Bombyx mori: one gene and its partners. The protein of the gene in region 2 binds, or shares a complex with, the protein of the main gene of each other region. Links are inferred from orthologs where the notes say so. Each region holds a gene or a part of one and is shown on either strand. Other genes may lie near its edges.

Region 1 (4,570 bases), on a different chromosome or scaffold from region 2:
AAGTGATTACTGGAGCCCATAGACATCTACAACGTAAATGCGCCACCCACCTTGAGATATCAGTTCTAAGGTCTCTGTATAGTTCCAACGACTACCCCACCCTTCAAACCGAAACGCATTACTGCTTCACGGCAGAAATAAGCAGGGTGGTGGTACCTACCCGCGCGGACTCTCAAGAGGTCCTACCACATGTTAAAACTTTTATTGTACACGTTACGTTTTTATTACACGATGTTATTCCTTCACCGTGGAAGTCAATCGTGAACATTTGTTGAGTACGTATTTCATTAGAAAAATTGGTACCCGCCTGCGGGGTTCGAACACCGGTGCAATCGCTATATACGAATGCACCGGACGTCTTATCCTTTAGGCCACGACGACTTCAATAAATGTCGTCGGATGTTCTTTAGACGACGGTACCTTTGATTTGCCTCGTGGCCTGGGTCGGATATGTAATTTTAGGCGGTCACGATAAGGTTTATTTCTAATGAAATACGTACTTAGTACACGTTCACGAATGACTTCCACATCGTGTAATAAAAATCCGATATAATAGTAACGTGCGTAATTACTAAACAATTGAGATGTAGATGTATGTATATGGACTCCAGTAACCACTGAACAACAGGTGGGCCGTGAGCTCGTTACGAAAATATATTTTTTTTATCTCGAAACTAGGAAGAAACAACCTTCTAGTTCAAAGTGGCCCGCAGCATACCGTATGAACAGACTTAACTTGAAAACAAAGGTATAAAAATGAGTTTAAATTTTTGAAATATAATCATTGCTAACATCGGTATGACTAAACAATCTCTTGTTATTTACTGCATTTACATGAATATTTTTTACTTCACCACATTTATCTGACTTGGTTGTTGTTTACAAAAAGTGTTCAAAGAGGTCAAACTATAATATAAAATAAATCATTTCTTATCTATGGAACGTAAACAACTATATCTGTGTTGGAAATTGTAAATTTAGAAGATGCAAATAGACAAAGAGTTATGGCCATATTTTCTTTATTTATATCTTCAGCTACGCACGGACGGGTTGGTAAGCTCATGGGGTTCATCCTGAGAGAATTTGCTAACAATAGTCCTAGTAAGAGAAATCCAATCCAGCGAGAAATTAAGTTGGTTATGTATTTGGGCTAGGTTGCTCTTCAAACTCTTTTTGTCTAAGCCTCAGTTTTTTCATTGCAACAATTTCCCCACCCTTTAAACGGAAACTCATTACGGCTTCGCGGAAAATATAGGCAGGATGGTGGTACTTACCCGCGTGGGCTCAGATATGATGCCCTATCACCAATAATTACACAAAAATTATAATTATTGCGGGTTCAATTTTTATAACAAGTAATGTTATTCCTTTATTATAGAAATAATTTGTGAACATTTGTTAACCTATTTCATTAAGAAAATTGCGTCGCTTGATGTGAATGCACCGGGTGCCATATCCTGTAGATCACGAAGAATTTGCTGCCTATAGTGACATGAAATATCACTTAACACTAAAATGGTTAAAAGCCATTACCGTTTTGAACAACGGGCTTCACATACAGAATCTTAACAAAATACCTATTTTCCTAATGACTAGAAAATTTTAAATAATACAAGTTTACCTTTTTTCCTTCAAAATTGTCTCTAGTTGTGCCAATAAACAATGAAATTGCACCGCAGCTATCATCAGTTACAAGTTCACTTATTTCTTCGACTGACAGTCTATCTACTGTTAATTTTATATGGTCCATCCTGTGAAATACTATTTAACCTCCACTCAATGGTGGTATAACAGCTAAGTTGTCTTGTTCATTAATTTCTATATCTACTGTATCCTCACACACTACCTCGTTCTTAGCCAAAAGTATATTTTTCTTAATACTGTTTAAGTTATATTTATCGCATATAATATTCAACAATCTCTGATATCCCAACTTTCTTGGTAAAGTTATGGAAGTTTCTCTAACTCCCGACAATTCTTTTGATTTAGCAAAAAACAATAGCTTCACTGTTACAGTATCTTCTATATTTTCTATTTCCATAATTTACCATAGTCAATCTACCAGCCTGCAATAAAAAGATGTGTTATTATAAACCTGTTTGTAAAAAAAAGTTGCTTAAGTAAAAATAAATAAAAAACATTACAACAAAATAATCAATATAGCTACTGTCAATACTGCTTCTAAATCTGTGTAAATAGTAAACAATAATGATTAAAATACATACATGTAATTTGAATTGAAAAAAAAAACTAGAAAGTACAAAATGGTGCTGCAAAATCTAAAGAAAAATATTTAAAAAATTAAATTCTTACTTTATTTCGAATTGATCCATAAAAGACTAAATATGTTGTACTTGTTGTAGGATAATAAAAAGGTTTTTAATTTCCGTTATACACTTTCCATGTACATCAAAAGTATTTTAAAAAATTATATATCTACTGACTGCATCACCGCGGCGTTTCATTTACTTACTGACTGATTCACTCGACTTACCTACATGAATGTCGTGGATATAGTTTTTATTTTATGGGCGACTGCTTTAAACATGTTGCTGATCATTGGACCGTGTCGGAATTTCACGATCTAATTACATACACCTACTTTCATACAATAGATACCTATACTTTACACAGTATAATATTATTAGATATTTTCAAGTACGTCGTTGGTACAAATGTCATTACAGCGATCATTTAATTTAAACTGTGTGATTTTTATAACTAGGAGGTTATACCGTAACCTTGAAAATCGTAACATTTTATTTATTAAAGTAATTTTAAATATACTTACTGTATCTTCTGTCTTAAATGGTAGTAATGTAAGGGTTTTTTTTCCTCAAACTTAGATTAGAAATTTCACTTCTTTAAAATTCTTACTAACTATTAGGTGTTATAATTAAGTTAAAATTCAAATTTTAAAACTCAAAAGCAAAACAAGAGACAGCTGTTATAGTTTATGAATTAATAACTTTTTGTTTGATCCCAAAAAACAGGCAAAGGAATAGTATTTCATAGGCTTTGTTTCAAAAAGTAAATTCTTTTATCTATCTATCTCTTAGGTTTATGGCGTTTCCTTTTAGATTTCGCCAATGTCAAGTGTATATAATACTCTGCTTTCTATAGCGGGCTTCGTGAATTAAATTAAAGTAAATTCTTTTGCACGAGAAGCGTAAAGGTGTCATTACCAAGCCATACTATTACCTTTTTTAAGGTATAAAAAAGGTAATAGTTTAAAGTTTGAATGATATCAGTTTTCGTAATAGGCCAACCAGCCAAGTCCAGTGATTTTGCTCCATTTCCATCTCCTAGAATCTAGGACCTAGATAGTTGAAAAGACCATATTAGTTTAGTATATTAGTTGCAGAAATACCTAATTGGAAAAATATTACAATGGCATATCCAATTTCATTCTTGTGTTCTAGTCATAGTAGATTTACACTTTTCTTTCTTGAATCTTATCCATACAACGGTTGAATGAAAGAGATCGCTTTAGAAGACAGGACCACACCTTGTAATTAAATTTTTATAGCATATCTACTTCGCTCCCATTGTACTAAGAAAAATTACCCGTGATAAGGTGCATGCGAAAATTTAACATGAAAATTAAGAGTCAATAACAAAACTCAATTTTACATTTATAGTATTTTAAAAATATAGATATTCTTTTAGGATCTCTTTTTAGGGGTTCAAAAAAACCCTCTTTCCAAGCGAGAGTTGTTGATAAAATACTTAAAATTTAAACTTAAATTATAAATATGTCTGTTATTAACTACTATCTCTCCATCATATTAAATCATGTTTATGTTGTATTTTCATGTCTCAGGCCTATTTATAAAATATCTTATAATCCAATTAATAATCATCATATGTTCAATAGTAGTGATCCGTCTTTGCACGGGATGAATAATGATATTGTGAATTATGTAATAATGAATAAATATAATCATATAATGTATAAACTAATTATTGCTGAAAGTACATCATAATACAAGTAAAAGAAAGTACATTATTGTTTACAGTAATGGCCATAGGTAATATATTGTAATTACATCACGTGTATTATTTTTACTAAGCTTTATGTAAAAGCTTCAATATTGACAGTTCTCTTTCAAATGAGAGAAATTACACTTTCAACCCCTACTTTTTAACTCTCAAAGAAAATATTCCTAGAAGTGAAATTTTGAAAAACAGCAACAAAAGTTTACGCATAAACGATAATATGTTTATTTTTTAACAAGTAGCGGAAATACGACATTTCGTATTTTAAAATGACAGTGTCGAAATGTTGTAGCGATGGCTCTATAGGTTGACACTCTCTTATTATACATTAAGGTTAATCCTATGAGTTTAGATTTGAATTCTTTCGGTGATCATGTCTCCTGCCGTTTGACATTCTTTTTCTTCCACTTGACCATAGATAATGCTTAAACACCTTCGCAACTCGATTTAATTTTACGTCACTATCGATACTAACTGCACTACCATAATCTGACAATTGACAGTTCAAATTGAAAAAGTTACCGAATTCAAACGGTTTTCAATCCGGTATGTTTGTGTGCTGCTTCTATGT
Region 2 (3,156 bases):
ATTCTTCCATTTTTTACTTTGTCAGTGGAACTACTTTGAGACTTCCTATAAACACTTATTTTGAATCTTATCCTATGATGTTATATTGTATTTGAGTCGTCTATTATCAAAGGTGGCAATCTGTGCATTTGGACAAAAAAATGTTATTGATATGTCAATACAGATTGATTTGAATATAATCGTCTCCTTCAAAGAATACGGTTCAAAACCTGCATTAAATAAAGGTTAATACTTAACCTGTTATTTATCTAAGATGTCGTTCAGAAGAGTTTTGTGACTGCCAACAGAATACAAAGTCAATAATTCGTTTTTCTGATTTACCAATAATTGTCCAAAAGTCACATTGCCGGCTTTGATAATAGTCGACTCATTTGATTCATATTTCGTATCATTTAATTCAAATTGGTTGTCATGTCCCACTCTTGACAAAAGCCAAAACAAACTACCAAGTTTCGAGAACTACCACCATAGATAAGCAGGGCATTGAATATTGTATGATATATTGAATGAAAATAATTGGAGGTTTTCACACAAACATAACCATTATTTTAATTTCTCTTGAGACTATTCTAGAATACTGAAAAATAATAGAAAAGCCAGATTCTAACAAAATTTTCTTATAATTACAAGTTTTAAAAGGATGTGTGACCAGATCTAGTAATAATTGTAACATTTACATAACATACATACATACATAACCTAACATTAAGTAATTTTTATGGCAGTAAAAATTAAGTTTAGAAAAATATCAGTAATAAATCAAATAAAATACTTTTAATTTTAGCAAATTGCAAAAACAAATTTTGAGAAGTTCTAAGTTTTAATTGTAGTTAATTTACTGATGTAAAAGTAAGTGGACACAATTCATTTTGGGATGCTTTTGAAGTTTACTTGTTTTTAATAAAAGTTTATTTAATTTTAAAACACTTCATACATTATTACCAACTGATTAATTATTGCGAGGTAACTGTTGTAAATGTTCATGGGAAACTTGTTTCATTTAAACATTTATCACTTTTGTAACACAGGCATGGGTTCTTTGAACTTATTTCATATAGTTTTTCAGCACAGTTTCTGAATATACACCACTAAGCGCCACTATACATTTTAAACTCAAGTCGCAGTAGTATTCAATCGTCTTCTATAATCTCAGCGTCTTCTTGTTCATCTTTTTTCTTCATAGAAGCGGATTTTCGTGCCGAAGCCATGGTCTTGTAATGTTCCAGAGCTTCTCCTAAAGGTTCCACAAATCTATCAAATTCGATGTCTTTCATAGCATCTATCACGTCCTGCCCAGTGAGAGCCTTCCTTTTTTTGTTCTTAACAATATTTGTAGCTGCTGAAGTCACATAAAGTACAAAAACTGAAGCCGCCTTAGCGAGGCCAGTTCGCGCCTCTTTTGATATCGATACGCCACTGGGAAGAGCTTCTTTTACGATTCTAGTTACAACTGTGAGTGGTAAATTCAAATCTTCGAGTTTTTCAGCCATTTTTGTTTATAACGTTCCTATTTATAAAATCTGGAATTAAATGAAAACATTAATTTAACCGCCAGAAGCACTAATGACATTTCTTGACATTGATTGGAGCATACAGTCACAGTTATAGATTATACACAGTTACGAATGTTACGATAGTACTCTCTATGTGTATTATCTATGGATACAAGGGTTAGTAACTGCCGCCTGTCGCCGTGCTACAAAAAGTCTCAAAAATAGGTACTCGGAATACAATGCCTTTTTTTCAAAGTTTTCATAGGTATCGTGGCTTAAACTATATTATTATGCTGTATGAGATACCCGGTGAAGTTACATAAAACGATGGGACAATACCAGCAGTTAGATCCTGCAGTGTAGTAGCCTACCGAATTCACAATTAGTATTTAGCGTTATCACGTGTTTATTTGTTGTTTATTCAACGTTTCTATTATTCTTCAAAATTAAAACCTCAAATCTTATTCACGTTACATGCTATAAAAACATTGCGATCTGTTTTCCAAAAATATTACAAAAATATAGGATTGCGTGATAATTTTAATTCACTGGTGGCAAGAAAGCACGCATTGATGATGACGCATAATGTCCATTTAACGAATGCAGACCAGAAGAGGGCTTGTAGTGCAGCAAAGATCAAGACAATATGAGATAAACTTAAACTGTATGCTTTGGTGGGAAATCGACTTTATCGTCTAATTAACTCAAAATATTTAGCAGTCACCATTATCCAAAATAATTCACGGTCAAAAAATAAATTACTCAAAAGTATGTAAAAGTTTATTTTCGCTATTATTTTTTGGTTAAATTATTATAATCTGATAATCTGTTATTTTAATCAGCCATTTAATTCGCTTGAAACCTTGTTGATTGTTGATAAAAATAAAAAGCAATGGTTCGAACACTCGTGTTGTTTGTAGAATTATTTGATTTGCACGATGTCGATATAATGAGAAACGAACGAAATTACTTGCTCATTTCTGCCACAAAGCATTATTGCATTCCGGTTTGAAGGGAGGAACAGCAATAAAAATTTCATCTTTAAAAAATAACATGGCCTTCAGTTCACAAAAGCTTCGCGTTCGTTATCATGTTACCCGTAAACAGCTGATTTACGAGTGACCAGTGTGCTTAAAAACATTATTTAGAAAATATAATAAAATATATCAGTAGGCTTACCATAGATTTACTAGGCATACATTGACTACCATGAAAGCGTATATTAGCGTATCAAAGGACACGTTGTCCGTGTTAGTTCGTTTTTAAAACATAATAGGTATCTACTTTTTAGATAGAAATTGACAACTGAATCAACTAAACAGGTCAATGACCTAGTTTTACAGAAATCGATGAAAAATTAAAAATGAATGACGTGAATACATATAAAAGGGAAGGTCAATTGTTGAATTTACTAAGTACGTAATAAAATTGAAATAAAATTTATAAATACATTTTTATTGAGTTAGGTACGCTTGGAGGTATTGCGCAAACTCGTGGTGCAATGTTGATGCCAGTGTTGTTTTGACAATAGTGATGTCCAAATGAACAAAAACGCGATAGCGTGTTATATTCTCTATTTTTTTAAGCTATTATGTTTTTTGTTACTAATAAGTTTTATAGAGATTCGGTGACTGTTAATTTGAAACTTTATGCTAAACAGATA
Region 3 (3,569 bases), on a different chromosome or scaffold from region 2:
TTAGTTCCCTTTGTCAATTTATCTTATAATTATTAGATAAAGATGGAACTACATATTAACTTGAACAGCTACTTAACTAATGGACGTAATGATGTCATAGATGTTATTTTGCTGTCAACATAAAAATGAAATGTTATTTTAATTTTTTTTACAAAATTTTTACAAATTTTAGTGGCAATAAAAAATAAAACAAGAAATAATTTAGTTTTTTTTTACTTAAAGAATTGTTACCTCATCTGTCATGTAGCATCTAATCACCTGAATGTAGTGACGGATAGCCATACAACACAAGATATCTGACTGATGCCTGAATCTCGCTTACATTTTTAAGATAGCTTGCATATATACAAGTCCCAAACAACATTTAGACAATCGTTCTACCAAGCAATATCCCTCACTCGGTGGAAGATCTTCCCTTTTTCATATATCTCCCCAGAATTGTTGTATTTGAAAGACTTAGGAAATCTACTAAATGTTAATTTTTATGCATATTTTAAATTCAAATCCATAGTAATAAGTTTATGAACTATGGCATGAATCCAATGAATTTGTTTTCTAGCTCATTGTAATTTGTGGAAATCTTTAAAGAGCTAGGTGATATTTTATTTATTAGCATAACTGGCAACATGTACCTAAAACCCTCCTCTTGTTGAGCAGTTACCTCTGAGTTAAGTATGAGTGCTTATGCAATTAAGTTTATTGTTGATGATGATTTGAAGAATTAAATAAAACCAAGTTAAGATCAACAATATAGACAAAGTTTTAAAATATTTATATAATTTATTTAATAACTAATGAATTATAAGATATTTCTTATAAAATCTAGAAGTCCATAGCACCTTCTAAAAAGCACAAACAATCAACTTTATCTATTACAAGTTCCAAATCTTTCTTTGATATAACCTTCCGTTTATTTGATGATGTAAATGCATAAGTTTCTTTCACTATTGTTTCTAGAAACATTTCCTGGAACAGAAATTAGATAAATTGTACTACTGTTTTACTCTAGCACCTTGTAACACATTTAAGGGGGTGCTAATATTTTCACACACCCAATTAAGCATAAAAAATTTATTTCATCCAGTAATTTTTCCACTAACAACTAGCACAACACAATCCAGGATTTAAATTAATGGCAATCTCTGAAGGTCAAAATTTTTGGGTTACTAAGCCAGAATAAGGAAATATATACAATGCCTGAGTGGTTATTGTTATAATTTTTTTTTTATGAATACAAAACTAAGTGCATTAAATAAAGGAGCCTTTAAGCTTTAAAAAAACCTTTTACACATCGCCGAGAACAGAGGAAGATGGTGAAACATCATGTAGAGAAGGATAATGGGAGATAGTCACAACCCTCAAACATGAGGAATCCAACTCACGGAGGAGGAAGCTTTAAATAAATGTCACGTTCATTTGAAATTTTAGAAATTAAAGATAATTATTTAGGATACTTACTGTCGCTTTAGTAACCAAAAATACAGCATCGCTAGATACAATATTTACATCTGGGTCCATTTTCATAATGTTTTTAATTCTCGCTATAGGAAGCTTTGTAGATCTTATAACTTCAGTTTTCTGTTTCTTCTCATGTACTTGTTCCTCAGAGTTTAGTTCAAATTCTAGTTTGTTATTATCTGCTTCTGTAGCCTCCGTCAGTGCAAATTTTAGATGTTCATTTTCTAGATATGATTCCGAATGCTCTGTAATATCTGAAATGTCGACATCTTCGTGGCATTCTTCTTCAGACATATTTTTTAAAGATGAAAGTTTATATGTACTTTAAAAAGTAAATATTTTATTCCAAAATTTACGTGCTAATAAAATCTTACAGTTAGAACATAAAGAATAATATGCACTAAGTGTAATATTTGGCAATCGCAGAGTAAAATAATTTATTTAATAACTTAATTTACTGTATCAGTCAAAGAAAATTATGTTTGCAATAAGTTTCTATTTAAATATCTAAGTTTATTTATTTAAAAATTAAAAAACCAAACATATAGTCGGATTTTTTATTAGACGAAGTAAACTGACGTTTACTGTGTTGTCAGTTTTTGATGAAATAAAAATAGTGTTGTGACAAAGTGAACGATTGAAAAAACTCCTGAATTAATGAAATTGCCCCGATTGTCTAGTGAATAGTTAGTGTGCCGAACTGCCGATATCGGGCACGGGGTTCGAATTTTAGCCGTGCTTTGTACATACCAACGAGTTTTCGACGAAACATTATGTTCCTATGGTATCTACCTGTACTGAATACCGAGTGTTTTAAACATTAAGAAAAACATTGCGAGGAAGCTTGTAAGACTGTCCTATTTCCAATGCATCATATAGTTGAAACTATAGATGTATAAAATGTAACAATTATAGGTACATAGGTAATGAAAATAAAACAAACTGATTGTAGTTACATACTACTAGTAACATATTATTATATTGGATCACTTTAATACAATTTTATTGTAAAATATAAATAATATTCTTTTATAGTTTGAAATTAATGATTAACTCTTCACACTCATTGTTCATTTATGTGATTGAAAGAGAACTGAACGCATCACTATTACTTTAAATATAGCAACATTATTTCACAAAGTGACATTAGCTACTGTCAGCTGGCTTCGTCTAATTAAAAATCCGACTATAGTGTTGCCGTTTCTATTTTGCTTTATTCAATCGGTTAAGCAAAGGGATCTTAAGACATACTCCTTTAATAAAAGGCCGAAGGTTTACATACGGAAATTTAAATGGAAAAAATCTAATGAAATGAGCTGAAATGTTAATTCATTTTTTCCGTGTAGTTTTAAGAATTCACTTCAATGAAATTTTTGAAACCATTCGAAAATCAAAATCCACCCCTTTTTTGGTTGTTGGAAACTTGCACACTTATTACAAACTTTAAAATGCGCACGACAAGAATTGCTAAATTAAGATTAATAAACAATTCCCTAAATTTGCCGTTTATCGAAAAAGTTATCTATCATAGAGTCCTTGTTAACATTTTGATTTTAATGTGAGTATTTTTCTTGCAAAGAAGACACAACTTATACAGTAAATGTTTATTAATGTCACAGAGTACTTAAGCTAGTCGGTGTATGGGCTTGCGGTGATATTTAAAAACAATTTCTTCATCTTATAAAATTTGGTGAAACCGTAATGCATTACCACAAAACAATAATGCGATCCAATTTGTAGATTAGGACAAGCTTGATAAAGTAGAGCTCTAGACTTTATATCTCAAGGTAGGTGGCGGCATCCAAGTAGGTAGTGGTGTTTATGGGCTTCAGTAACCACTTAATTAACCAAATGGGTTGTGGCTTCATACACCTGTCTACGGAATAATAAAAATCAATAAATATTGTAATATATTCTAATGTATTAAATCTCTTTTATATCGTTTGAATGCAGACCATAAAGTCTATCTCGTGGTCCGTAGTTAACGTCACTCCCTTGAGCTTGATGCCACATATACCAGGCAAACACGAAGAGGCTGCCTACTGCTGAAAACTCTTCACAAACTCTACCATAGACACAACGGACTTAGTTTTTCGCCTGATCTTCTAGGT

Evidence for each region. Proteins that work in one complex are often made in the same cells at the same time.
Region 1: DNA polymerase epsilon subunit 3 (region 2) and molybdopterin synthase catalytic subunit share a complex: the UniProt entries of both Drosophila melanogaster proteins name them as parts of the ada2a-containing (ATAC) complex. The link is inferred for Bombyx mori from reciprocal best matches to the Drosophila melanogaster genes Chrac-14 and Mocs2B.
Region 3: DNA polymerase epsilon subunit 3 (region 2) and DNA polymerase epsilon subunit 4 share a complex: the UniProt entries of both Drosophila melanogaster proteins name them as parts of the DNA polymerase epsilon complex. The link is inferred for Bombyx mori from reciprocal best matches to the Drosophila melanogaster genes Chrac-14 and PolE4.

What each region holds. Positions count from the first base shown.
Region 1 is NC_085131.1:1,996,801-2,001,370, forward strand, and holds the start of molybdopterin synthase catalytic subunit, read right to left. Parts: upstream 3,061-4,570; 5' UTR 2,792-3,060; intron 2,721-2,791; exon of another isoform or gene 2,314-2,720; intron 2,067-2,313; 5' UTR 1,751-2,066; coding exon 1,622-1,750; intron 1-1,621. UniProt on the Drosophila melanogaster protein: Catalytic subunit of the molybdopterin synthase complex, a complex that catalyzes the conversion of precursor Z into molybdopterin.
Region 2 is NC_085130.1:7,455,823-7,458,978, forward strand, and holds DNA polymerase epsilon subunit 3, read right to left. Parts: upstream 1,616-3,156; 5' UTR 1,491-1,615; coding exon 1,131-1,490; 3' UTR 602-1,130; downstream 1-601. UniProt on the Drosophila melanogaster protein: Accessory component of the DNA polymerase epsilon complex. Participates in DNA repair and in chromosomal DNA replication. Histone-like protein which promotes nucleosome sliding of ATP-dependent nucleosome remodeling complexes.
Region 3 is NC_085128.1:3,897,875-3,901,443, reverse strand, and holds DNA polymerase epsilon subunit 4, read right to left. Parts: upstream 2,062-3,569; 5' UTR 1,753-2,061; coding exon 1,459-1,752; intron 967-1,458; coding exon 823-966; 3' UTR 761-822; downstream 1-760. UniProt on the Drosophila melanogaster protein: Accessory component of the DNA polymerase epsilon complex. Participates in DNA repair and in chromosomal DNA replication. Has a role in cell cycle progression. Required for wing morphogenesis.